Linked DNA regions of Cricetulus griseus. The protein of the gene in region 4 binds, or shares a complex with, the protein of the main gene of each other region. Links are inferred from orthologs where the notes say so. Each region holds a gene or a part of one and is shown on either strand. Other genes may lie near its edges. The genes, in order: Cwc27, Snrnp200, Cwc15, Eftud2, Snw1, Snrpd2 and Scnm1.

The links.
Region 1: Eftud2 (region 4) and Cwc27 share a complex: the UniProt entries of both Homo sapiens proteins name them as parts of the minor spliceosome. The link is inferred for Cricetulus griseus from reciprocal best matches to the Homo sapiens genes EFTUD2 and CWC27.
Region 2: Eftud2 (region 4) and Snrnp200 share a complex: the UniProt entries of both Homo sapiens proteins name them as parts of the minor spliceosome. The link is inferred for Cricetulus griseus from reciprocal best matches to the Homo sapiens genes EFTUD2 and SNRNP200.
Region 3: Eftud2 (region 4) and Cwc15 share a complex: the UniProt entries of both Homo sapiens proteins name them as parts of the minor spliceosome. The link is inferred for Cricetulus griseus from reciprocal best matches to the Homo sapiens genes EFTUD2 and CWC15.
Region 5: Eftud2 (region 4) and Snw1 share a complex: the UniProt entries of both Homo sapiens proteins name them as parts of the minor spliceosome. The link is inferred for Cricetulus griseus from reciprocal best matches to the Homo sapiens genes EFTUD2 and SNW1.
Region 6: Eftud2 (region 4) and Snrpd2 share a complex: the UniProt entries of both Homo sapiens proteins name them as parts of the minor spliceosome. The link is inferred for Cricetulus griseus from reciprocal best matches to the Homo sapiens genes EFTUD2 and SNRPD2.
Region 7: Eftud2 (region 4) and Scnm1 share a complex: the UniProt entries of both Homo sapiens proteins name them as parts of the minor spliceosome. The link is inferred for Cricetulus griseus from reciprocal best matches to the Homo sapiens genes EFTUD2 and SCNM1.

What each region holds. Positions count from the first base shown.
Region 1 is NC_048595.1:323,093,451-323,096,950, reverse strand, and holds part of Cwc27 (spliceosome-associated protein CWC27 homolog), read left to right. Parts: intron 1-2,377; coding exon 2,378-2,490; intron 2,491-2,770; exon of another isoform or gene 2,771-3,030; intron 3,031-3,500. UniProt on the Homo sapiens protein: As part of the spliceosome, plays a role in pre-mRNA splicing. Probable inactive PPIase with no peptidyl-prolyl cis-trans isomerase activity. As a component of the minor spliceosome, involved in the splicing of U12-type introns in pre-mRNAs.
Region 2 is NC_048599.1:51,360,503-51,364,002, reverse strand, and holds part of Snrnp200 (U5 small nuclear ribonucleoprotein 200 kDa helicase), read left to right. Parts: intron 1-325; coding exon 326-478; intron 479-630; coding exon 631-730; intron 731-1,019; coding exon 1,020-1,156; intron 1,157-1,595; coding exon 1,596-1,679; intron 1,680-1,758; coding exon 1,759-1,932; intron 1,933-2,421; coding exon 2,422-2,559; intron 2,560-2,934; coding exon 2,935-3,090; intron 3,091-3,500. UniProt on the Homo sapiens protein: Catalyzes the ATP-dependent unwinding of U4/U6 RNA duplices, an essential step in the assembly of a catalytically active spliceosome. Plays a role in pre-mRNA splicing as a core component of precatalytic, catalytic and postcatalytic spliceosomal complexes.
Region 3 is NC_048597.1:127,982,822-127,986,321, forward strand, and holds part of Cwc15 (spliceosome-associated protein CWC15 homolog), read left to right. Parts: intron 1-621; coding exon 622-740; intron 741-3,319; coding exon 3,320-3,449; 3' UTR 3,450-3,500. UniProt on the Homo sapiens protein: Involved in pre-mRNA splicing as component of the spliceosome. Component of the PRP19-CDC5L complex that forms an integral part of the spliceosome and is required for activating pre-mRNA splicing.
Region 4 is NC_048600.1:115,260,714-115,264,213, forward strand, and holds part of Eftud2 (116 kDa U5 small nuclear ribonucleoprotein component), read left to right. Parts: intron 1-1,309; coding exon 1,310-1,476; intron 1,477-3,500. UniProt on the Homo sapiens protein: Required for pre-mRNA splicing as component of the spliceosome, including pre-catalytic, catalytic and post-catalytic spliceosomal complexes. Component of the U5 snRNP and the U4/U6-U5 tri-snRNP complex, a building block of the spliceosome.
Region 5 is NC_048598.1:116,352,292-116,354,849, reverse strand, and holds the end of Snw1 (SNW domain-containing protein 1), read right to left. Parts: intron 1,390-2,558; coding exon 1,226-1,389; intron 1,146-1,225; coding exon 947-1,145; 3' UTR 501-946; downstream 1-500. Other genes in the region: Slirp (SRA stem-loop-interacting RNA-binding protein, mitochondrial), read left to right, coding at 1-3, 371-460. UniProt on the Homo sapiens protein: Involved in pre-mRNA splicing as component of the spliceosome. As a component of the minor spliceosome, involved in the splicing of U12-type introns in pre-mRNAs.
Region 6 is NC_048602.1:28,213,612-28,217,598, forward strand, and holds the start of Snrpd2 (small nuclear ribonucleoprotein Sm D2), read right to left. Parts: upstream 2,801-3,987; 5' UTR 2,647-2,800; coding exon 2,645-2,646; intron 538-2,644; coding exon 358-537; intron 1-357. Other genes in the region: Qpctl (glutaminyl-peptide cyclotransferase-like protein), read left to right, coding at 3,370-3,579, 3,950-3,987. UniProt on the Homo sapiens protein: Plays a role in pre-mRNA splicing as a core component of the spliceosomal U1, U2, U4 and U5 small nuclear ribonucleoproteins (snRNPs), the building blocks of the spliceosome.
Region 7 is NW_023276806.1:61,367,435-61,371,377, reverse strand, and holds the start of Scnm1 (sodium channel modifier 1), read right to left. Parts: upstream 2,801-3,943; 5' UTR 2,685-2,800; coding exon 2,634-2,684; intron 2,249-2,633; coding exon 2,178-2,248; intron 1,939-2,177; coding exon 1,850-1,938; intron 1,753-1,849; coding exon 1,658-1,752; intron 1,558-1,657; coding exon 1,469-1,557; intron 123-1,468; coding exon 1-122. Other genes in the region: Lysmd1 (lysM and putative peptidoglycan-binding domain-containing protein 1), read left to right, coding at 2,922-3,034, 3,586-3,781. UniProt on the Homo sapiens protein: As a component of the minor spliceosome, involved in the splicing of U12-type introns in pre-mRNAs. Plays a role in the regulation of primary cilia length and Hedgehog signaling.

The DNA.
Region 1 (3,500 bases), on a different chromosome or scaffold from region 4:
TCTGTTACCAATTTGAGTCATAACATGATTATTTTTCTTTGTAAGAAACGTGGCAAAATTTTATATTCACTTGGGTATTTTTTGTTCATGGATAATTTTGTATGCAGCTATATATTCCATAAATTCTTTACTGTTTCTGGTTGGCTTCTAGAATGCATTACATATGACTTCAAATACCTCCAGTGGTGGCAAATCAGTGTCTTCTAGTTATACCTGATTTTTAGAGACAGTGTTATTCATGGCATCAGAAAACAATATTTTGGGTGAGAAACTAGGTATTTAAGAATCCACAGTATCCTCTTGTATGACATAGACAAAGCTCTCCAAATAGAAATTAGGTAAATATAACACTGCAGGGGGAAGATTAAAGAAATAATAATAAAAGAATCAAATCCCTCAAATCAGACAAAGAAAATAGTCTGCAAAGACCATTATTAATAATTGCTATGGCAGGCAGGCAGGAAATCAAATCAGACAGGTAGTTTAGTTAGGGACGCCTCGGATAACTGTCAACAAAACTAAGAAACAAAGGAGGCAGAGAAGTCTGACTTCTGGGAATAAGTGTGAAGTCAAAAGCTCAAATTTTACAGGAGAGTGGAATTACAAAAACACGAGAAAGAATGAATGGTAAATGCAGTCCAGGACCAGGTGAATGAAGAAACAGAAAGTATCTGGATAGAATGTGACAATGAAATAAACATGAGGTTCAGCGGTTCAGCTTGATGCTGACATAGCTTCCTTGCATCAAAAAAAAAAAAAATATTATTCTCCCATTTATAAGAAGACCAGGAGTTAGAAGTAAAGAATGGAAAATTCATAGAAATAACCAGAGCAATTTTCATAATGAAACAGGCAAGAATTTAATAAAATTATTGTTGGGAAAGCTAACTAAAAACCTGAGAAGACTAATTTTTTTTTTTAAAAAAGATACTCCTGGCAGGAGAGATGGCCCAGCAGTCAAGAGCACTGGCTACTTTTCCAGAGGCCCTGGGTTCAATTCCAAGCAACTACATGGCAGCTCACAAATGTTTGTAACTCAAGTTCCAGGAGATCCAATGCCCTCTCTGGCCTTCAGGTCACCAGGCATGAATGTGGCATACAGACATACATGTAGTCAAAACACACATCACTTATTTTAAAAAAATATGTGTATATACAACTCCATTTATTTCTTTGAATGTCTGATTCAAAGAAGTTAGGATGTTTTTGGGTCTTGTAATGCACCTTTCAATACAACAGCAGCAGCAATGCATAGTTTTCAGAATGAAAAGAAAATGGACAGAAGCCTGGGAGAGAGGGAGGGAGAGAGGGAGGGAGGAGTTCAGTCTCCCACATGGCCCTTGATGAAACAGGTTTTTTTGTTAAAAGATGGTCACATTCTTTGTAGAACTCAAAGATATGTCATTACGAATTTAACCTTGGACTTTGAGGTCTTTGCTTATAGTTAGGAAAACATCTAAAATAAATACATTTTGAGAATTGCCAGTCTTAAACATGGTATAAAACTGTTACAAAAGAAGGAAAGAAACAAAGCAAAAGGCTACTGATTCTCAATGTTTAGAGAGGATACCCTATAACTCAATGGGTACCATGCTTCTATCTTATCTAAGTTAACTTTTTCCTTCTTAATGATTCTGGTTTCAGAGAATAAATGCTATGGGATACCATATTTCATCTGTGCTGAATATTTGTGGCTAAAAATATATTTATAATATAGAACATATTTAAATTTATTAATTTTATATTGATTTCTGAAAGTCACTTAAGTGAATGACTTTGATTGGAATAAAATATATATTGTGTGTTTCATTTGCTGAACATTTTGTTTGAGGGGACTGCAGGTGGACAGTGCTAGAACTATGATCAGTTAATAACTTTAGTATCTGTGGGTTTGTATAATCTTGTATATTGGTAAGTTAATTTCCTGTCAGGGGAAGAGTCTCAGTCTCAGCACTGTTGGCATTTGGGATGGGTTAGTCATTGCTGTGCAGACAACCCTTTAGATTTTAGGGTGTTTGACAATATTCTTGCCATCTTGTATTCCAGGAGTTTTCTCCAGTTGTGATATTTCAAAATGTTGATAAATATCCTCTGGGATGCAGAATTGCTGCTCCTCTCTCTCACCTAGTTGAGAGCCATTGATGTATTAAACTTCTTGTCTTTGAGAAAATTCTGGAGATAAAACAAAAACTAAAACTAAAGCACTGTTGTTTCTGTAGAAGCCTATAGTGTTTTGAAGATTGAATGTTTTATAGGAAAGGTTCTAGTCTAAAAGCATATGTAACATTTTGGAAATTAAATCTGTGGCTCTCTTTATCTATTAATTATGATTACTAAAGCCACACTGACTTTTAGAAATTGTTATATTGTTTTTCAGCATACTATGACAACACCATTTTTCACAGAGTTGTGCCTGGTTTCATAGTCCAAGGTGGAGACCCCACAGGCACCGGGACTGGTGGAGAGTCCATCTATGGAGCACCGTTCAAGGTCAGATCAATTTATTGTATTCTAAGTCAGCTTGGAGTGCTTCTTCCAAAGTAATAGTGTCCCATAAGAAAAATGTCTCATGTAGTGAACAAAAAAAAAAAAAAAATCAATGGAGTTAGAATTATTTAGAGATAGGAACAAATATTACCTACCAAGCATTCTTTTTTTTTTTCTGTCATGGAAAAAATGTTTATTTTGAAATTATTTTAATTTAGAATAGAAAACCTCTTATGGAGGAGGAAAGAAAAAGAAACCACAAAGTATACAGGCAACTTTTTACTTCATGAGCTTCTCACACCCTCATTTGTTCACTAGTTCCCACGAAGAGAAAGCACTCAGCCACTCACAATAATGTTATTAATAGGGATATGGATCAGTTTCACAAAGAAGCTAATGAATCCCATGATAGCAAACCCTATGGCTGTGGCCATGGCAATCTTCTGGAATTCTTTTCTGTGGGGTTTGGTGCATTTTTTTACCAGCCGACTTGAGTCCTTGACAAACTGCCACTGGCCTAGCAAACTGCATTACCTGGTCCATGGTTGAAAGTTGCTGGATGACAGCTGGTGAAGCTAGAGACACATAGCTTCCCTACCAAGCATTCTTTCTGATTTATTTTGTGCTAGATTAAGTTAAGGTAGAACTAAGGGTTGCTATAAGAGAGAGGGAGAGAGAGAGAAGCAGGATTCAGGAAGAAGTGCATATGGTGTATTTCTTGATGTTTGTCTGATCTCAACAGCTAAGTTTTTTTTTTTTTTTTTTTTTTTGGTTTCAAGACAGGGTTTCTCTGTGTAGCTTTGGAGCCTATCCTGGCACTCGCTCTGGAGACCAGGCTGGCCTCAAACACTCACAGATATCCGCCTGCCTCTGCCTCCCAAATGCTAGGATTAAAGGTGTGCAGGCCCAGCTCAACAGCCAAGTTTTAAACATTGCATGTGCTATTTTAGATTAAAATAATTTGATTTAAATATTATATGGAATTTTCAGTAGTCTCCTTGGGCTACAACAGT
Region 2 (3,500 bases), on a different chromosome or scaffold from region 4:
TTTTGAGATAGAACTTGCTGGACAGCTCAGACTGATCTGGAATTTGGAATCTCCTGCAGCCTCAGTGCTGGGATTACAGATGTTTCACCAAGCTCAGTTTGAGTCTTAAACATTTAACATTTTTATTTTCTTAGGATTTTAGTCAGTTGCTACTCTTCCCAAATACTGGGTTGATGAAATCTTAATATGGTGTGCCCCTGAATTCAGTGTAATAGAGCTGTTTCCTTCTGGAAAGGCCTTAGAAGGTAACCTATGGGATGACAGGTAACTCTGTTGCAACATGATAAAGAGACCTAGTGAGCCAAGTGTTTGCTTTTCTCCTTAGCTTGTAGCCTCAGGAGAACTGATGAGTTCGAAGAAGAAAGATTTACACCCTCGGGATATTGATGCTTTTTGGCTGCAGCGACAGCTCAGTCGTTTCTATGATGATGCCATTGTGTCGCAGAAGAAGGCAGATGAGGTGTTGGAAATTTTGAAGGTATGGCCAAGAAGGTATTTCTGTTCCATGTGCTTGTCAGAAAGGGTCAGTGTTTACCGAAATATCACCAGTACAGGGCCACCAATGCAGGGACAGTGTTTGAAGAAACAGATGGCTGTGTTCTTACTGTTGGTATTATTTGTTCTCTCCAGACAGCAAGTGATGACCGAGAATGTGAGAACCAACTGGTTCTGCTCCTTGGTTTCAACACTTTTGACTTTATTAAAGTGTTGCGACAGCACAGGATGATGAGTGAGTAGTCCGTGTACTTTTCTTTCTTGCTTGGTGCGTGCGTGTGTGCGTGCATGTGTGCGTGCGTGCGCATGTCTGTCTGTCTGTCTGTCTGTCTGTCTGTACATTCAGTTGTGTCCAGATTGTGTGTGTGTGTCTGTCCATGTGTCCATCCACACATTCAATTGTGGATGAATTGTTGCTTCTTTGGCTTCAACATTTAATTACCTTCTTTTTGCTGAGGAATAAAAGTTGATTTTATTTCATTCTCTCTTTCCCACCTTTTCTCTGTCCCTGTCGTGTTCTGCAGTTTTATACTGTACCTTGTTGGCCAGTGCTCAGAGTGAAGCTGAAAAGGAAAGGATCATGGGAAAGATGGAAGCTGACCCAGAGCTTTCCAAGTTCCTCTATCAGCTGCATGAGACTGAGAAGGAAGACCTGATCAGAGTAAGGGCTGCTTTGTTTTCTTTCACATTTCTCTCAGTGTTTGAGGTAATAAAACATCTTTGAGTTCTCTGGAGTTTGTCAGGGTGCCAAGTAGAGTGAGCACACTCATTGTTATGCCTGTGACACTGTCTTCACCTAGCACCATAGGGACCTGTTTATCACAGTCCAGGAAAGGAACATGTTTGCTTAATATGGAGCACCATACTTTCATGCCTTGGGTATAGCCTTGGTGGTTAATTGTAGACTGTTATACTGTTTAGAACATTGCATCTCATTGTGTTTGTTCCCTTTTTTGTGGTTTCTTGTCCGTCTCAAAATAAAGTGATATCTTTGGGTTTGGGGAAACATGAGTTAGTACCTGTGAGTGAAACCCAACCCAGAAGGAACAAGAACCTAGGAGAGTGATGATCGTTGTACTTTTTCTCTTTCCCTGTTTCAGGAAGAAAGATCCCGGAGAGAGAGAGTCCGTCAGTCCCGAATGGACACAGATCTGGAGACCATGGATTTAGACCAGGGAGGAGAAGTGAGTGCTGGGCTGTTCCCTGGCAATGGTGGATGGGAAACTCACCTGCTCAGCCTGTTACTGTTTTACCTGTTCCCAGGCTCTGGCTCCACGGCAGGTTCTGGATTTGGAGGACCTTGTTTTTACACAAGGAAGCCACTTCATGGCCAACAAACGATGCCAGCTTCCTGATGGATCCTTCCGACGCCAGCGTAAGGGCTATGAAGAGGTGCATGTGCCTGCTTTGAAGCCCAAGCCCTTTGGCTCAGAAGAAGTGAGTGAATTGCTTTTCTCAATTTTGTCTTTCTCCTCTCTTCCAGTTTGGTTTTAGCCATTGACTAAAATGTTACCTTGTCTCAAGGATAATTTATTGTAGAGGTGGAAACTGTTCCAGAGTTTTCCCATTGTGAGACAAGGAGGCAATACTGTTGTCTCTGGACAGGTTTATGATTGAGAATTATGAACAGTGATTGCCAGGGAATGAAATTATGGGGAATCACAAAATGATATCATGGTTATCTTGTAAGAATAGTAATCTACGGAGATGGCTCACAGGTTAAGAGCACTGACTGCTCTTCCAGAGGTCCTGAGTTCAATTCCCAGCACCCACATGATGGCTTACAACCATCTACATGCCAGAACCCTGTGACATAATAAATAAGTCTTAAAAAAAGAAAATAGTAATCTTATAAGAAATCTTACAAGAATGAACAGTTTGCAAAAGGATGCTATAACATAAAGTGCAAAACATTTCTTCCTCTAGCAACTGCTTCCTGTGGAGAAGCTGCCAAAGTATGCCCAGGCAGGATTTGAGGGTTTCAAAACACTGAACCGGATCCAGAGTAAACTCTACCGTGCTGCCCTGGAGACAGATGAGAATCTGCTGCTGTGTGCTCCTACTGTAAGCATTGCCCCGCCTGCTTTTTCTGTCCTGGAATGTTTTGGTGGCTAGTTGGATCTTAATTTTTACATCAGGCTTTATTCTTATGGTTATTTTGAGACAGGGTCTCACTATGTAGCCCTGGCTGTCCCGAATCTCACAATGTAGGCCAGGCTGCCCTTAAACTCACAGAGATCTGCCTGCCTCTGTCTCTGCCTTCCAACTGCTGGGATTAAAGGGGCGGCATACCATTCCTGGCTATTCTCTGTTCTGTTGTGGAAGACATAGGACAATCCAGTGGTCAGTTCTCTCTCTCGTTGTTAGCCCATTAAAGTCAAGGCAGTAGCCATATAGTTCATCAGACATGAACAGACTTTGTCTCTGACCTGCCTCTAGGGTGCTGGGAAGACCAATGTGGCCCTGATGTGTATGCTTCGAGAGATAGGGAAACACATTAACATGGATGGCACTATCAATGTGGATGACTTCAAGATCATCTACATAGCTCCTATGCGGTCCCTGGTGCAGGAGATGGTGGGCAGTTTTGGAAAGGTGAGTCACATCTTCTCGAGAAGGTACTGGCTGCAGATGGCCATGAAGTGGGGGAGGGGCCTATGTGCCACTCTTTCTTTCCTTAGGGAATCTCTGGATTTTTTTTTTTTTTTTTTTTTTTTTGCCATTTCCAAGGTAGAACGTGACCCAAGTGATTTCTGAAGGAAAAATGTCTTGGCCTCTCTTACATGGACTCCATTTTTCTTTGAGCATCTCCAGAGTGCTTGTGGAGTCATGTCTGGCCCACGGATATGGTTGATAGCTTGTGAGTTGTTACTCCAGTTCCACTCTCCTAAGTGTGTCCAGTTTCCTGCTCCATGTGGGGCTCCTAGAGACACTTTGCCTCGTCAACCTGAGTGGAACTGAACTTGTTTAAATAGTATTTGGTCATCCTCCTGATTCTCCAGATA
Region 3 (3,500 bases), on a different chromosome or scaffold from region 4:
CTATATTAATAGGGTGGCCATGTTCTCAAAAAATATAATCTCAAGCCTGGGGGGAAAGTGTAGATTTGATCCAGAGGCTGTCTGACCATTCACCTACAAGTCTGACAATATGTTTTTAAATTTTAAATGTTTATTAAAATGCTCCTAAACTTAACCTGTAAGTAACTAAATAAAACGTTTACATCTGTATCTCAGCTTCTCACAATTGAGAGACTGTTGACTATTTTGGAAAGAATGAGATATTTGTAATAAAAATAGCAATGTATTTACTTTTTACAAAGATTTTTCTGGTATTTGTCAAGAATCAAAAAGAGGAATGAGTAAGTTGGTAAAGTGCTTTCCTGCCATGTGCGAAGCCCTAGGTCCCTACCACTGAAAAACTGGGCCTTGTTGTGTACATCTGTGGTACACAACCATGCACTCAGGAAGTGGGTAAGAAGTTCAAGGTCATCCTCTGCTACCTAGCAAGTTCCATGCCAGCTGGGCTATAAGAGAACCTGTCTCAAAAAGGAGAAAGGAAAGGAGAAAGAAAACTACCATCTGACAGATGTTCATTTGTGAACCAATATAAGACAACTGACTTGAAGTTAGTAACTTTGTGTCTTCCTCTGCCATTGACAGGAACAAGAACAAAAAGCAGAGGAAGAGAGAATTCGAATGGAAAATATTCTGAGTGGAAACCCCCTCCTCAATCTCACTGGCCCATCCCAGCCTCAGGCCAACTTCAAGGTTAAAAGAAGGTACTAAAAGTAATGGGTTGACCAGATGGTGGTGGCACACACCTTTAATCCCAGCACTTGGGAGGCAGAGGCAGGCGGATCTCTGTGAGTTTGAGACTAGGCTGAACAGCCAGGGCTACACAAACCCTGTCTTAACCAAGGGGATAAAAAATAATGGGTTGATCTATATGTGTGGTACATTATTTGTATTATGTGTTACATAAGGCTTCTAAGACCCCACCTCCTATATATAACCTCAGTCAGATTTTAGAATAATGGGAGAAGAAGAGAGGCAGGATGACTTCATTTTAATGCATACTCATAATAACCAAGTGTCTGCCAAGTCATGGTCTAAACCTGATCACTAGCTACATGACGGTAGCTACAAAACCTGTACGTGGGATGTGAGTGGAAGGGTCCTCAAGACCACCCCTCACAGTTCAGTTCTAGAAGGATTCAGGGGACTTGCCATGACCATATTGATGTTTGATATTGTAAGATACACACAGATCATACAGTTGTGAGTATTCATAGATATACATTCAGGTCACAAGGTGGAAAGACATAGACTTCCTTACACTCCTATTCCTGTAAGAGGTCACTAAACAGTGAAACTAGAAGTTGACACTTGATGATCAAGGTTATTGGGACTCGTCCTGCAGGAACTTCTGTTGCGTGGAAGTCAAGTTAGTTATGTACTATAGGCAAGTGATGGTGAGAGGTGACTCGGGTCTCCAGTGCTAGCCGAGCTAAGAGGCAGGCTGGGAGTGAACACTGTACTGCATGTGAAGGAGGAGGGCACTAGAGAGCTGGAAAGAGTCTGCATAATGTGACAACAGATGAGGATGCAGAGGAAAGTAGAGTGAGCACTCACAGGAGCCACTGTGTGTGTGTGATGGGGGGGGGGGGCTGTACTGTGTCAGGGGTGAGGAGTCCCGTTGCCTTTCCTTTCTGCTCACCTCCACCGCTGCTGTCTCATCAGGAATGAAGCACTGCCCCAGCTGCTCTCCTGCCCATTCACCCCAAAGGTCATGCTCCTGCTCACACACAAAGAAAACTCCATCTTCTTCCAAGCTCTTCTCTCATCCCAGCACCATGGTTCTTTCTTTTAAAAGTCACGATAATAGCTGCTTTTTTCTAAATTCGTTCGTTTCTTTACTCGATCACAGTAAAAGAACAGTCCTTGTGGTGACATAAAGCTAAAAACTTAACACACATTCTTGAAGACAACAGTACAGTCAAGGGAAGGTTTGCTGACACCAGCAGTTTAGAGACCAGACTCCAAGCATTTTACCTGAGCAGTTGCAAGGCAGGCATGGGAAGGAGTATGGCTTATACTGAGCATGAAAGAGGAAACAGGTTCCAGGCATGCTAGGATTGGAGTGCTCTACACATCTCTAAGTGTATCTAGTCTGTGTGTTTCTGCAGTTGGTTCAAGCTGGTAATAATTCGTCTGGGAGTCACCAGCATGGGCAGAGGGTTGTGTCAGTGCCTGGAGTAGGGTGCAGTATAAGTTCATAGTACTGGAGTAGTATAAGTTCATAGTAAGTGCTTAAAAACTAGTATTTGGATTTAAAATCCTAGGCTAAGACTAAGCACCTAGAGAAGAGGGCAGCCAAGACATTCCCATTAGTGTTGTGAGAGGAATGAGTGACAGTCTGGGAATACTGTATGCTGATGTGTGTTCGAAGAGAAGGGAGCAAGGGACCAAAAGCTCATTGGGATGAGTTAAGAGACAAAACACGATAAATGAATATGAAGCAGTCTGGTTTATTCTTCCCTTTGTGGATGCAGGAGTAAATATCCCAGTTTACCATGCTGCTGAGCTTCTCATGTGTGCAACATCAAGGCAAATTTACTGACACAGTACCCATAGGTACACATAGTCTTTGCTCATTTTCCTTGTGCAATTTCTCCTGGTAAATATACACCAACACACACAAGCACAATGTAAGCTGTGTTTTATGTATGTTTGTGTCTGTGTTTGTCATGAGGAAGGGTTTATGTTTTTATATGGGAGGTGCTGCTCTGACGTTATGCACTTTACTTTCCATGGCACCTTTCCATGAGTGTGTTTCATGCTCTCTGAAATCCAGCTGAGTTCTACTCTGAGCTCCTTAGCAGATACTTCTTCAGTATTAATGGAGACTGGGGCCAATCTGTGAATCTTCATTGTTACATTCCTGTAGTTCTGTCTTTTGTTGCTTTATGATGTATGACCAGCATGATGGATATAATTGATTAGAAGTATGTACAAAACTTTACAAAGCATCAGGAAATGGATCACTTACTGTCTAGTGGTGTTGGATCAGGACCATGGCCCTGCCTCTTGGTTTTAGACCTGAAAATATCACACCTTTACCTGAGCGCAGTATGTGTGTCTGCTTCTGCTTTGTAGCTCAGAGCTGCTTCCACTAGGGGAGTGGTATGTGCTCTGAGTATGGGTGCCTCCTGCTGTGACAACTTCCACCATAGGCACACCAGTTCTTTTCTTGTCAGGAGGCAGATTGTGTCTGTGTTGATGAAGCTTTACAGCCTGTGTGGTGTTCTTGTTTCCTGATAGAATTATAAGGTATTTATTTTCTTTTCTTCCCCTTTAGGTGGGACGATGATGTCGTTTTTAAGAACTGTGCAAAGGGTATAGATGATCAGAAGAAAGACAAAAGATTTGTAAATGATACACTTCGATCTGAATTTCACAAAAAGTTCATGGAGAAATATATTAAGTAGTACAGTTTTATGTGCTTAATTAAAGTCTAATAAAATGTTAAGGATCAATTT
Region 4 (3,500 bases):
CAAATGCTAGGATTAGAGGTGTGCACCACACACAGCGTATTCTCATATATCTTGATGGTCTAGTTGACTCATCTCTGACTATCAAGAGTTCTTTGTAACTGGCTCTTTCGTCCTTTTGACCTACCTCATCATGTTTTGAGTTCTTGCTTATTTTCTTACACACTTGCCCTACCCTAGTCGTAAAACCAGCCATTTCTTCAACAAGCTCTGGCTTCCTATATAGTGGAGACCACTATCTGGGGGTGTTCATTGCTGCTTTGATGCTTTGCCTCCAGGCCCATTCACTGAGCACAGCTAGGTAATACCCACCCACACGTCTGTCACTCTTCTGCACACAGGTGTTGAAAATGTCACTTGTTCAAACTGAGTGTCGCTTTGTCTGTCTGAAATCACGACACACGGGAAGTAAGGGGATTGCTAAAAGTTTGAGGCAGGCTAGGGCTACAACCCAAGACCTTACCTCAAAAAAATAAAACAACAATAACAAATAAGAAAATGGCTTGTTCGGCCAGGCATGGTGGCATATACCCTATCATCCTAACTACTGTGGAGGCCAAGGCAGAAAAACAGCAAATTTGAGACTAGCTTGAGCAAGGTAGTGACACCCTGGTTCAGAAGAGACTAAAACAGGGAAGGGATTTAGCTCAGGGGCAGCATTCCTCAAATGTCCAAGGCTCTGGGTTTATTCCTTAGGATCACTGACAAGGGGCTGGAGGTGGGTCACAGCATTCATTTTAATACTTCCTCATCAGTAAGTTCTTCCTAGCGTTCTCAGTGCTGAGAAGCTTTGGTCCCAGCATGGCCGTTGTGTTTATTTGCTTTTTAGTCTTGCTGTGTAGGTGCCCCCTTCAAAAGAAATTAAGGTGTAGGTGCCCCCTTCAAAAGAAATTAAGGTGCCTTATTCAATAACAAATAAGAAAACAAGCCATTTTCTTATTTGTTATTGTTGTTTTATTTTTTTGAGGTAAGGTCTTGGGTTGTAGCCCTAGCCTGCCTCAAACTTTTAGCAATCCCCTTACTTCCCGTGTGTCGTGATTTCAGACAGACAAAGCGACACTCAGTTTGAACAAGTGACATTTTCAACACCTGTGTGCAGAAGAGTGACAGACGTGTGGGTGGGTATTACCTAGCTGTGCTCAGCTTCACAGCCCCGAGTCTGCCTTGCGGATGATGCTTCCAGCTGACACTTCACGCCCAGGCCATTTCCCCTTTGTACAGAAAGTGTTGCGAATGTCGCCTTCCCCCCTACTATAGATGTGCTCTCTACTCTTAGTACCCACTTCCCGCTTCAGAGCCCTGTGTTTCTCAGGTGATGCTGAACACAGAGCGGCTGATTAAGCATGCAGTGCAGGAGAGGTTAGCAGTCACCGTGTGCATCAACAAAATCGACCGGCTGATCTTGGAGCTGAAGCTGCCTCCAACAGATGCTTATTACAAACTTCGACACATTGTGGATGAGGTCAATGGATTAATAAGGTATAAGACCCCTGGGAGTGGACTTCCTGTCCTTAGGAGAGTCTGGCTTTTATAAATCTTAATTTTACCCTTGAAGACTTCTGGGAGTCCCTCACTTTGTGGCATGTGGGTGATCCTGTCAGTTCTAACAGCACATGTCGGGTCTCTGCAGGACTGCCTGCAAGCCTCTCCTCAGCAGTTCAGTGTCTGAACCAGCCACGCGGTTTAGCACATCCCTGGTTCTGTAGTCAGTAGACTCTAAAGCAGTCTCACCTTTACCACCTGCCAGCCATGTGAAGTTGGCGATTACCAAAGCTCATTATTTACTTACCTGTTTATTTAGATATCTGGATGTTTAGCTGCACATATGTTTGTACACCGTGTACATGTCTGGTACCTACACTAGTCGGAAGAAAACAGTAGATTCCTTAAAGCTAAAGTTAAGGAGAGCTGTGAGTCTCCATGTGGGTGCTGGGAACTGAGCCCAGGTCCTGTGCAAGAGCAATGTGCTGCTCTACCTGCTGAGCCTTCTCTTCAGCCCCCAAAGGTCATTTTTGCTTCTATTAAACAAACAAACAAACAAACAAACAACCCCGGATACAGTGTGGTGGCATATGCCGATGGTCCCAGCACTTAGGAGGTCAAGGCAGGAGGATTAGAAGTTTGAAGCTAGTTTGGAGTACATAGCAAGTTCTAGGTTGGCATGAGGACCATGGAGGGGCCCTATCTCAACAACTCACATTAGGGCTGAGTAGATGGCTTGGTGAGTAAAGTGATTGCTTCATGAAGACCTGAGTTCAGGTCCCTAAAATCCATAGAACAAGCTAGGATGGTACCTCCCATCTGTGATCCAGCACAGTGTGGTGGAGACAGGGAAACCACGTGGCTAGGCAGTCTGGCCAATTGATGAGCTCCAGGTTCAGTGAAAGAACCTGACTCAAAGATCAAAGTGGAGAATAATAATAAAAAATGACACTCGGTGTCAACCTCTGGTCTCTGTGGGTGTGTGTACCCACATACACAAAAATAATTAAATTTAATTAAAAAAAAATAAGATGGGCATAATGGTCCACCCCAATAATCCTGACACTCAGGAGCTGAGGCAGGAGAGTTACTATGAGTTTGAGGTCAACATGGGCTACAGAGTGAGGCACTATCTCATAAAACAAAGAGGGCCAACGTGATGGCTGAGCAGATGAAGGACTTGCACAAGCCTAACTGCCTGTATTCAATCCCCAGAACCTACATAAAGATGGAAGGACGGAACGGACCCCACACTCTGACCTCTATAGACACCCCACACATACATGCCATACACACATACAATCAATAAATGAGTCAGCAGAACTTTTTTTTTAACTAAGCAAATGAATTGCCTATTGGGATGTTAAAAGAAATTAAGTAGCTAGTTGGTACAGCTCCCTTGCCATATGGCACCTGCTGCTGAGTGATGTTGGCTGCTCTGTCTTACTGATAACACAGGGTGTGTAAATGAAGAAACTTTACTGTGTGTTCTGCAAGCATCTGCTTCATAAGAAGATGGAAGATTTAGTTAGAATTACACATGTAAGTTGCTTTGAGGCCTATGTTAGCACAGTTGCTGTAGGATATGGTATTCTGTGAGTCTGGAGAACCCAGCACAGGCCATCTAACTCCTTAAGCCCCTGGGCCTCCTGCCTCAGCCTTCCAAATGCTGGGATTACAGGCCAGTGCCTCCACTCCTGGCCTTCCGAATGACTCAAGTTGTTTGCAAAGTTTAGGTCTGGGGTGTAGCTCCATCCGAGAGCACTTGCTACTATATGCAGGGTCTGGGTTATGCACTCTGCAAAATAGTGAAATGAAAGTTTCAGAATTTTTGAAACAAGAAGCCAAACAGAGTAAAGAGAGTGACAGCGAAGAGGAGCAAATCTGCCGTTTCTCTTTTTTCTCAGTGTTGTTTATCTGTCCTGTCCTTACCTGCATGTCCCCCACCCCTAGACAGGGTCTGCTATAGCTCAGGCTAGCCTGGAACTTCTACAGAGCCAAGGATGACCTGGAACTTCTGA
Region 5 (2,558 bases), on a different chromosome or scaffold from region 4:
AAGGTAAGTATTTCTGTTGATGTGTGTTTGTTTCACGTTGCTTTTTAAAGAGTAGTTGGTGTCTTATAAGGTCCATAAGGAAAATCCATGAAGACCCCATTTTTGATGCTAGGGATTGAACCCAGAATGCCACACATATGATAAGCACATGCTCCACTGAGTTTTCATCCCCAGGTGGAAGACCCTCTGATAGCTTATCCAGGCATATGTAACACAGAATGGTTCAAACAGCAATGTAGACAAACACCTGAAATCTTCCCTTCCCCTCTCTGATTACCCAGAAGGAAGACACCAACCACCTGAGTCACTAATAAAATGATATTTGTGGAAACAGGGAAATTCTTCTTTTAATGTCATTTTTTTCTTATAGTGCTTTTTCCCTCCACAGATGGATGTTAAAGCTTGGAAAGAAAGGATTTTGCAAAGGGCTCAAACATCTGATGAAGACAGAGACTTCTGAGATGGTTACTGTAGTACCCATTAAATAAATGTAAAGAGACTTTTTCTAAATGTTTTTATTTGAAACAAGAGCTGCACACTAAGCAGGACCTTAGTTTCCCCACTGCAAGGTAAAACAGCACAACAGGGCAAATGCATTTGGTAGCACAGTTCCAGTATGTGGACATTTTGGGGTAATTTTATTCATAAAGTTCTTACACAAAATATTACCCCTGGATTAGTAATTTCACATACAAGAAAGTGGTCTTAATTCTGTTTGGGGCAGTATTTCCTATAAGTGCTGTATGATGGGAGCACAGACATAACTCATTCTTTAAAAAAACTAATCCAAAGTAGAATATTCAACCCCCATCTCCTGGAATAAAAAGTAGTGCTGGGATCTATTGCCCAGATTTGGTTTTTGTCCTGATCATTTACAAAGGGTTTCCCAATGACTTGCATCATTAGGGCTGTGAATAAGAGTCCTTTGCTTTGAAAAGAGGCCTATCTACTCCTTCCTCCGCTTCTTGCCTTCATGCTCATGTTCCTTAGGGCGACTGCTGTCAGAGGGTCTTTTAGAACCACCATGCTGTTTGGCTTCTTCCAAAAATTTATCCAAACCAAAAGGATCTTCCTCAAACTGAACTGGTCCCTCTCGGCCTCTCTGTCTGCGGTCGGAACCAGAAAACTCCTTATCAGGTACAAACCTAGGGGAAAAGGAGAAGAGGTCATGAACTGCTTTTGTTTTACTGGTGTAACCAGGACAATCAACTGTCTGTTTTGGTACCTGTTGGTCTTTATCCTGGTTTCCAGGTCATCACCATACATATCTTTGTCCAGATTTTTACTGGGCCTGTAGATACTTTGAGCCATATCTTTACCGCCTCTCCAGGCCTGATCATAAACATTATAAATTTCATCTTCTCCACCTGCAAATCCACTGTCCATACCCTGTGGAAAAATAAATGACACTAGATAACCATATACATTAATATACCCAAGCTGAACCTGAAAACTTGTGAGTACTCAGATCACTTCCATTTTTTCAGGTAATTCTCAAAGCCCCCAACTCCAACATTTAAAACACACACAGACTTGTTCATACTCATTTGAGTTCTTACCCAGAGACTTACTATTAAATTAAGGTATTCATTAAAAGTTTGATTAAGCTGGCTGTGGTCTATGTATCAAGTTCCAGGATAGTCAGAGCTATGTAAAAGACCCTGTCTCAAACAACAAAAGCTTTGACTAGCCATCAGACAAAGGACACAAAGTTGAGTGTGTAGAGAGGGTGGGGTGAATCTGTGGGGAGTTGAAGGGAGGGAGCGAGGTTAAAACTCAACTAACTGTATGCACTTCTCAAAAACTAAAGTTGAAGGATTCTACTGTAGGAACCTGACAATAATGCTGAGAAATGTAACCTCCACTGCCTGAGAACGTCACTATCAAAGCACAAGACAATTAGGTTCTCAATGAAAATCTTAAAAATTTTCACCCAACTTTGAAAAGCTTTAAGCTTAAGGTTGTAAGAGATAGAACCTTTAACCACTTAAAGCAAAGACGTTAAGAAAAAAAGCTTTGGAATCAAAGCATTCAAGGTTGAATCTCAGTTCCATCAATTACCTAACCCTGTCTCAATTATCTTTGAAACATAAGAGGCTAGGGACATAGCTCAGTGTTAAAGCACTTTCTCCATATGTATGAGGACCCAAGTTTGGATCCTCACGACCCATGTAAATGACAGGTGGGGGAGTGGAAGTTTGCCTGTAACTTCACCCTCTGAAGACGGAGACAGGAGATCCCAGATCACGTTGGCTAACAACCTTTATCAGTGAGTTCTGGTATTGACTGAGAGACCAGTATCAGGAAGAGTGATAAAGAACGATTCCCAACATCAACCTCTGCCTTACATGCATGTACACATATGTATACATGCAAACATGCATATAAATGAAAATGAAAAAATAAAAGTGAAAACAACAATATGGCTTTATATTCCCCAAACACCAACAGTGTTTTTAAAGGATTGAAAGAGATTTAGAACAATGCCAGGAACACAAGCAGTATTAAAAAAAAAAAAAAATGATTGTTACTTGGAAGAGCCTGCTCAAATGCTATCT
Region 6 (3,987 bases), on a different chromosome or scaffold from region 4:
TGGGATAGACAGATAAGACAAATTTTAGCCGGGCGTTGGTGGCTCACACCTTTAATCTTAGCCCTCAGGAGGCAGAGGCAGGTGGATCTCTGTGAGTTCGAGACCAGCCTGGTCTACAAGACCTAGTTCCAGGACAGCCTCCAAAGCCAGAGAAACCCTGTCTTGGAAAACAAAATAAAACAAAAAAACAACAAAAAGAGCACCCCACACTTTCTGATTTTTTATTTTGGAGGCTGGCCTCTAACATGATCATGGTGATCCCTCTGAGTGCTGAGATTACAGGAGTTTGTCACCAACTTACTATCATTATGCTTCTGGAATAACCTTTCCTTCAGGCCCCTCAGACTCAGTGCTCACCTATCAAAGGCCTTCACCCGTCCCAGGAGCTTTTTGTTGTTTCGACAGTTAATGAGCACTTGTGTGTTGTTCTTGACCGACTGTGTGAGCACCGAGAGGGGACCAGTGTTGAATTCCTCCTCTTCCCGCTTCTGCAGCTCTTCTGGGGTCATCTCACTCTTGGGTTTATTGAGGAGACTCCTGAATAGAAAAACCACGGGTGAGATGGGTGAGCTTGGAAGTGTGAGTGATCAAAGGCACTGTCCAGTGTCTCCTCAACCTGGTCCCCAAATGTCCTTTTCAGAGGTGGGAGAGACATTGTCTATTTAGCCCGTTCCAGCTGTCTAACCACCAAAACCTCTCCCACCCACGCATTCCCCACGTCTTCACTGATGGCAACTCTATTCAGCGGGTTCTCTAAGCTAGAACTCTACTGTTTAATTGATTTCTGTTTTGGTGACAGGATCTCCTATAGCCCAGGTTAGCCTTGAACTTGCTATATAACTAAGGACGACCTTCAATTCTCAATTCTCCTGACTCCACCTCCCAAGTTCTGGGATTACAGGAGTTCAACATCAAGCCCGGCACTCTCTTAAAGGAAATCTACCCTCACATCTTGTCATCTGCCTCTACGACATATCCAGAACCTGGCTATTTCTATCCATGGCCTAATCTTCCGTTACCTTTCTCCTGGTGCCCGCCATCCCCACAACAATGTCTTACTGTGTAACCCTGGCTGACCTGAGACTCAGACTATCCATCTCTGCCTCCAGACCTCTGGGATTACAGGCATGCTGCCACTATACCCAGAACCCAAGGTAGCCATGTACTCTGCCCACTGAGCTATAACTCCAGCCCAGTGTTGCATTTTCAGTCTTTTTTTTTTTTTTTTTTTTTTTGTGGTAGCTACTCAAATTTCTTCATCCGCACTCTCCATCATCTAACACGTTCTCTGGTCTTCCTACCCCATTCCTTTTACCAGCCCCAGTGAGAAAAACTTTCTCTCGGTGGCACGGACCTTTTATACACCGTGTGTCTAACTTAACAACCAGTCTGTGTAACACCTGCTTGGTGAATAAACACATCAAACCATGGCAGTAGCTTGCTACTCTGAGAGTCTCCAGGCAGATTGAAAAAGCCCCCCTGTCTGTTTTCTACCTTATCCTGGTTAAGTCCCTCATTATGATTTTTGCTTGTTTGTTTTTTTTGGAGAGCCTTTCACTATTTTTTAATAGAACTCCCTTCCCCTGCCGAGACCTTTATCCATTTACGGCTCCCATTTAAAATTACTATTACTTTTGGAAACGGTCTCCATGTGCAGCCCAAGGCTGGGCGCGAATTCACCATCCTCCTGCCTCACTCAGCCTCTCTTGGGCATGTGCCACCAGGCTCAGCTTTCCTCTTACAGCTCTTTTCACAAGACTCAGTACAGAGCAGGGTCCCACGCCCGTTATGCTGTCGGGGCTGGAGAGATGGCTCAGGGGTTAAGAGCACTGGCTGCTCTTCCAGAGGTCCTGAGTTCAATTCCCAGCAACCACATGGTGGCTCACAACCATCTATAATGAGACCTGGTGCTCTCTTCTGGCACGCAGTGTATACATGGTTAATAAATAAATATAACCACATGGTGATTTACAACCATCTGTAATGGGATCTGGTGCTTTCTTCTGGCACACACTGTATACATGGTAAGTAAATAAATAAGTAAATCTTTTAAAAATAAAAATGAGGGGGGCTGGAGAGGTGGCTTAGGGGTTAAGAGCACTGACTGCTCTTCCAGAGGTCCTGAGTTCAAATGCCAGCAACCACATGGTGGCTCACAACCATCCGTAATGAGATCTGGTGCCAGATCTGGTGCCTTCTTCTGGCACGCACTGTATACATGGTAAGTAAATAAATAAATCTTTAAAAAATAAAAATGAGGGGGGCTGGAGAGATGGCTCAGAGGTTAGAGCACTGACTGCTTTTCCAGGGGTCCTGAGTTCAATTCCCAGCACCCACAGGGTGGCTCACAACCATCTATAATGGGACCTGGTGCCCTCTTCTGGCTCGCACTGTCTACATGATGAATAAATAAATAAACTTTAAAAAAAAAGAAAAAGAAAGAAAGAAAGAAAGAAAAGAAAGAAGAAGCTGTCCGGCTCCGGAACTCCAGACCCGTCCTTCCAGGCCCCACGCCCGTCCCCTAACACCTCAGGAGGAACCTCTGCCCCCGCTACGAGCACCCCAAGCCGACAGTCCACCTGCTAAGCCGCCCGCGTCCCTCCCTCCACCTTCGCGTCCCCGCGGGAGCCCAGCCCGGCCTCACATGGTGGAGGTTTCGATCGCAGCTCACTCCCGCCTCCGCCGCGTTGCCGTGTAGCCTCCGGAGTAGAGCGAGCGGAAGGCGGGACTTCCGCCTCCCTCCTCTGGGATCACTTCCGTCGGCGCCTGCGCAACCCGCCCCAGCGGCGTGGGCGTGTCACGTTGCCATAGCGACCCGGCGGCGGCTCTCTGCCGTAGGAAATGCCTGGAGGGAGGATTCCATGTCAGTGAGGATCACAATAGGGGGACCCCCCCGCTCGCGACTAAACAAAAAGGGGGAGCCGCCGGGCCTGGCTCGAATTAACTCCCCGTCTGGGTGGAAGAAGAACGGGGGCGGGGAGGAGGCGGGGACACGACACACAGCTCCGTTTCCAAGCGCGCGGCGCCCGCCTCCTCCTGGGGGGGCGTGGCCTCGAGCGAGCCAATCGCCTCCTTGCTTCAGGGATGGGCGCCGCCCGTTTCTCCTTGATGGACACCTGAGGGCGGCGGGCGCGGCTTCCGCACGGTCAGCCGCCACTCATTGGCTGCGCCTCTTGCGTGGGGGGCGGGCCCTCGGGTCTGCGCACCGCCTTCTGGAGAAGAAGGAGCCAATCGCGGCCGTCTGCGCGACGATGCCGCCGCCGCTCTGCTTCCCTATTGGCTTGCGTAAGCGATAGGGGGGAGGGGCGGAGCCTGGCCTGGACTCAAACCTCAGTCTGGGACGACCGGCTTCGGGGCCCCGCTGCTGCCATGAGTCCCGGGAGCCGCGGGCGGCCCCGGCAGCGGCTCGGGGATCGCGGCGCGATGCAGCCGCCCTCGCTTTCCAAGCGCCGCCTGCTGCCGCGAGTGCAGCTCCTGCCCCTGCTGCTCTTGGCGCTCGCCCTGGGCTTGGCGCTCTTCATGGTCTGGAACGGCTGGCACCCCGAGGTTCAGGAGCTGTCACGCAGCCGGGATCTGCGGGTGAGGCCTGCCTGGGGCCCCGGTCCCTCCTCCGTTTCCCGTGCCGAGCGGGTGACATCTCTTTCTCCATCACTCAAGCAAGCGCACGCCCCTGCCTCGCCGTCCTGGAGATGCAGGCGGTCAGCCTAGCAACGCGGGCAGATCTGAGCTCCGCGCCCCAAGACATCTGTTTGCAAGGTTCCCGTCAGGGCTCTAATAGTAGCAGGGGCCAGATCTGCCTTGAAGACGCCCTCCCGCTCTAGGGTGTATGCATGTGAACTCCAAGTCTTTGCTGCACCACCAAGAAGAGTCAGGGCTCCCAGGGGGCAGCGGCGCCCAGGAGAGGGTGGGGATGGGGGGTTTTGTCTTCATTCTTCTCTTCCCCACCAAGGTCCCGCTGATTGGAAGCCTTCCGGAAGCCAAGCTACG
Region 7 (3,943 bases), on a different chromosome or scaffold from region 4:
ATGACTCTTTGGCATGTGATCCTGCCTTAGTCTCAGGTTCCCTACTGATCTTTGCACTCTGGAGTCCAACCTCTGGGGCAGGCAAAGGAGAACTGGAGACAGAGGGAGCAGGAGCCTCTGGTCTGGGGAGAAAAGAAACCAAGCCTGTTAAATGCACAGAAGGAAAGTAGCAGCTTCCCCGTGCCTCCCAAGCCTGAAGAGCAGTGTTTCCTAAACTGAGTTCCTGAGTTTTTTGTTTTTTTTTTTTTTCTTTTCCTCGGTTTTTTGAGACAAGGTTTCTCTGTGGCTTTGGAGGCTGTTGGAACTAGCTCTTGTAGATCAGGCTGGTTTAGAACTCACAGAGATCTGCCTACCTCTGCCTCCCAGAGTGCTGGGACTAAAGGCGTGAGCCACCACTGCCTGGCTAGTTCCTGAGGTTTTTTTGTTTGCTTTTTTGGAGATAGAGTACATATGATGGACCTGGAATTTACTAGGTAGATGAGGCTGTCCTTAAATTTACAGAGATCCACTTGCCTCTGCCTCCTAAGTACTGGGATTAAAAGTGTATACCACCACACCCAGCTTGAGTTCCATAAGATCTTAAATATTTTACATATGAAAGATTTTGGAATTAGGAACTTGAGAAAAGCCAGCTTAATAGTTCTACGCTTTTGCCTCAAGATTTTCCATAACCAGGTATGGTGGTACACACTTTTAGTACCTGCAGCACTTAAGGGGCAGAGAAAGGCAGATCTCTGTAAGTTTGAGGCCACCCTGGTCTAAATAGCAGGGTTCCAGGACAGCCAGGGCTACAAAGGGAGATCCCCTCTCAATAACAAACAAAAAAGTGTACCACTATGCCCAGATTATGTTACTTTTTTTTTTTTTTCCTCTGTAGCCCCGGCTGGCCTGGAACTCAGAGACCCACTGGCCTTGCTTCTGGAGTGCCAGGATTAAAGGCGTGTGCCACCATCCAGCAATAATGTTACTATTTTTTTGTGTGTGTGTGCATTATTTTGTTTTTCAAGGCAGGGTTTTTGTTTGTTTGGTGTAGACTTGGCTGTCCTGGAACTCACTCTATAGATCAGAGATCTACTTGCCTTGTCTCCGGAGTGCTGGGATTAAAGTGTGAGCCACCAACACCCGGCTAAAATTTATTTTAAAATCACAAACTATCACCAGGCGATGGTGTCCCACGCCTTTAATTGCAGTACTCAGGAGGCAGAGGCAGGGGGATCTCTGTGAGTTCGAGGCCAGCCTGGTCACCAGAGCAAGTGCCAGGATAGGCTCCAAAGCTACAGAGAGAAACTCTTGTCTTGAAAAACCAAAACAAAAAACAAAAACAAAACAAACCACAAACTATCATTTTTCTTTAAACAACATCTCCACAAGATTAGTGTTTCTCAGAGTACAGTTTGGAGAGCAGTAACTTCAGAACCATCTATTTCCTTCTACCCTTTCCCACTTCCGGATTTCCCCCTCTACAGACCTGTGCTTCCTCCGGCAGCAACTGCTATAGTGAGGAGCTCTGTGCAGAGCACTCTGGGTGATTAATCGAGTCTGGGTTAGCAAAGGTGCCTGGTTATCAAGAGAAGAAGACACAGTTGGAGATGTTAGGCAAAAGTCCTGTTGCATGCAGTACAGCCCTGCCTGAACAACACCTGACCAGATCTCTCACCTCGGCTTTGCTTTCTGTCTTCAATTCATTTTGCTGTCTTGGTTTTTGCTCTGTTTTCTTGCCTGATTGCTTTTTGCCATAGAAGAGCTTCAAACCTGAAAAGGAAAGCAAGCACAACATCAAGTAGACTGACAAAATGTTCAGAGTGTATTCTCTATCATTCCTCCACTCCCCGCCTTCTCCTGTACTTACTGGATAGGTGCTTCTTGCCTGCACGGTGGGCAGTCAGCATGGCCAGCGTGTCCAGGACTGGTCGATGGGGGCAGATAGCGCAAGCAAAGCTAGGGAAAAGAGAAGTGAATGGCAAACCCGTATGTGTTGGAGAGCCGGTGGTTGGGGTGTTCCTACTTAGGGGCTATGCCTGTCAAAGCACTCCACCAACGCCCAGGTCTCCCGATCGCCACCTCTTCCAATCTTCACTTCCAACCAAAGGATCTATTACACTCCTGATCTCCTTAGAAACCAAAGTCTGTTGAGCCTCTGATAGCAAATCCCCAGGCTTGATCCACTCTGCTCTCACCGTCCATCCCGCAGCATTAGCGCCTCATCCTCTGGGATGTAACTGGCCAGCAAGTCTCCAACTCTTCGTTTCTGCAGAGAGCAGGACAGGAGAAACGAATATGAGGGATGGATGAAAAGAAATAACAGGGATAAAGAGTCAAATGGAGCAGACCATAGGGTAAGAAGGAGGAGGCATCACTCAGTTCTGGCCCCCGAAACCCCCTCCCACAGATGTCGCCAGAGCAACAAAACAATGCAAAGCGCGACTGAAGCTGGGCTCTCCCTCTCTCTAGTTCTTTGATTTTTCGAGACAGGGTTTCTTCGTGTAGCCTTGACTGTTCTAGAGCTGGCTGTGTGGACCAGGCTGGCCTCGAACCTCAAACGCAACACGGACACACCGGCTTTTGCCTCGCAAGTGCTGGGATTCAAAGCGTGCGCCACCACTGCTCGTGGGTAGACTCTCACTAGGGCTTACTTTGAGCACATTGAGCTGACTCCAGTCGTCACCTTCCCTCTTGAAAGACATCACGACTGTGAGTCTTAGAAATAATAAATTCTCCTACGCCTACTTTGCCTCTCCTTCGGGCCACCGTAGGAAGAGTAGGTTATCGCCTTCCCTGCTTCCGGTCTTTTTCTGATTAAGTCTTTACTTCCGGGGATGCGTTTCCACGCATGCACCGCGCGAGCCGGAAGACCCGCCTCCAGAGCCCTGAGGGTGCCTGCATTTCCTATGATGCCCTGAGAACGCTTTGCCTTTTGGGAAATGAAGTCTTTTAGTTATTTTCTTTTTTTTGTTGTTTTTAAAAGACCTCACCGCTCACCTGAGTACAGGCACTCACATCGCGAAGGACCCAGGTGTTTGGAGACCAAGAACCTGTACGTGGAGCCGGAGTTTCAGGGTGGGACCCTCCTGGCGTGGAGCGAGGCTTCGGGGATCTCAGTGGACCGTGTACTGCAAACTCTCTCAGTCCCCAGGCTCACCGTCCACAGCCACGATCTACCTGGGGTGGGCCTGATTTGGAGCAGAGAGGATGTGGGGGCTCCCGGCGGCCCGGCTGCGGGACGTGGGGACACACTGAGGGGAGAGTGTTGATGAGGGTGTCTAGGGTTCAAAGGTCAGAGATCAGGCTTGCAAGGAGTTGGGGAGAGGGCGTCGAAAGTCGAAGGGGTCGGCGACCGACCACTCAGGGAAGATATTTATGGGCAAGGGTCTTGAGGAAGGAGAAATGTAACCGGCCTGGCAGCCTTCTTAGGGTACGGACTGTGACCCCAAGCTCGGTAAGCAGCAGCAAGAGGAGCATTGATGTAGTCTCTCGAGAGCGGGGACACTAAAGAGAGAAGTGAGAAGGAATTCCTAGAATATCTATCCATTCCTGGGGTTCGGCCCTCACTGTTGGTCACTTAGCTTTCCTCAGTTGTGACCCTAGATCTTGGCATCTTGAGATGGCTTCTCCCTCTAGACAGCCCCCACTTGGGGGGTCAGGGCTGCTGCATGGGAGCCGTGCTCGTTCTTATGGAAGCCTGGTACAATCATCGTGCTCCCCGGTGAGGGAAAGACGCTTGGAGCATCAGTTGGAGCCTGGAGACACCCTGGCTGGACTAGCACTCAAATACGGGGTGACGGTGAGTCTTCCAAGGATTGTGGTGTGGTGACCATTCAGGAGAGATTTAGTGCCCAGGAGAAACTGGGTGGTCTGCTAAGCGGCCTTCCCTGATGTTATATTAATTATATTGTGGTCTCTGCTTTGTCTTATTTTGTTTACACCTCTCAGGGTAGCACTATCC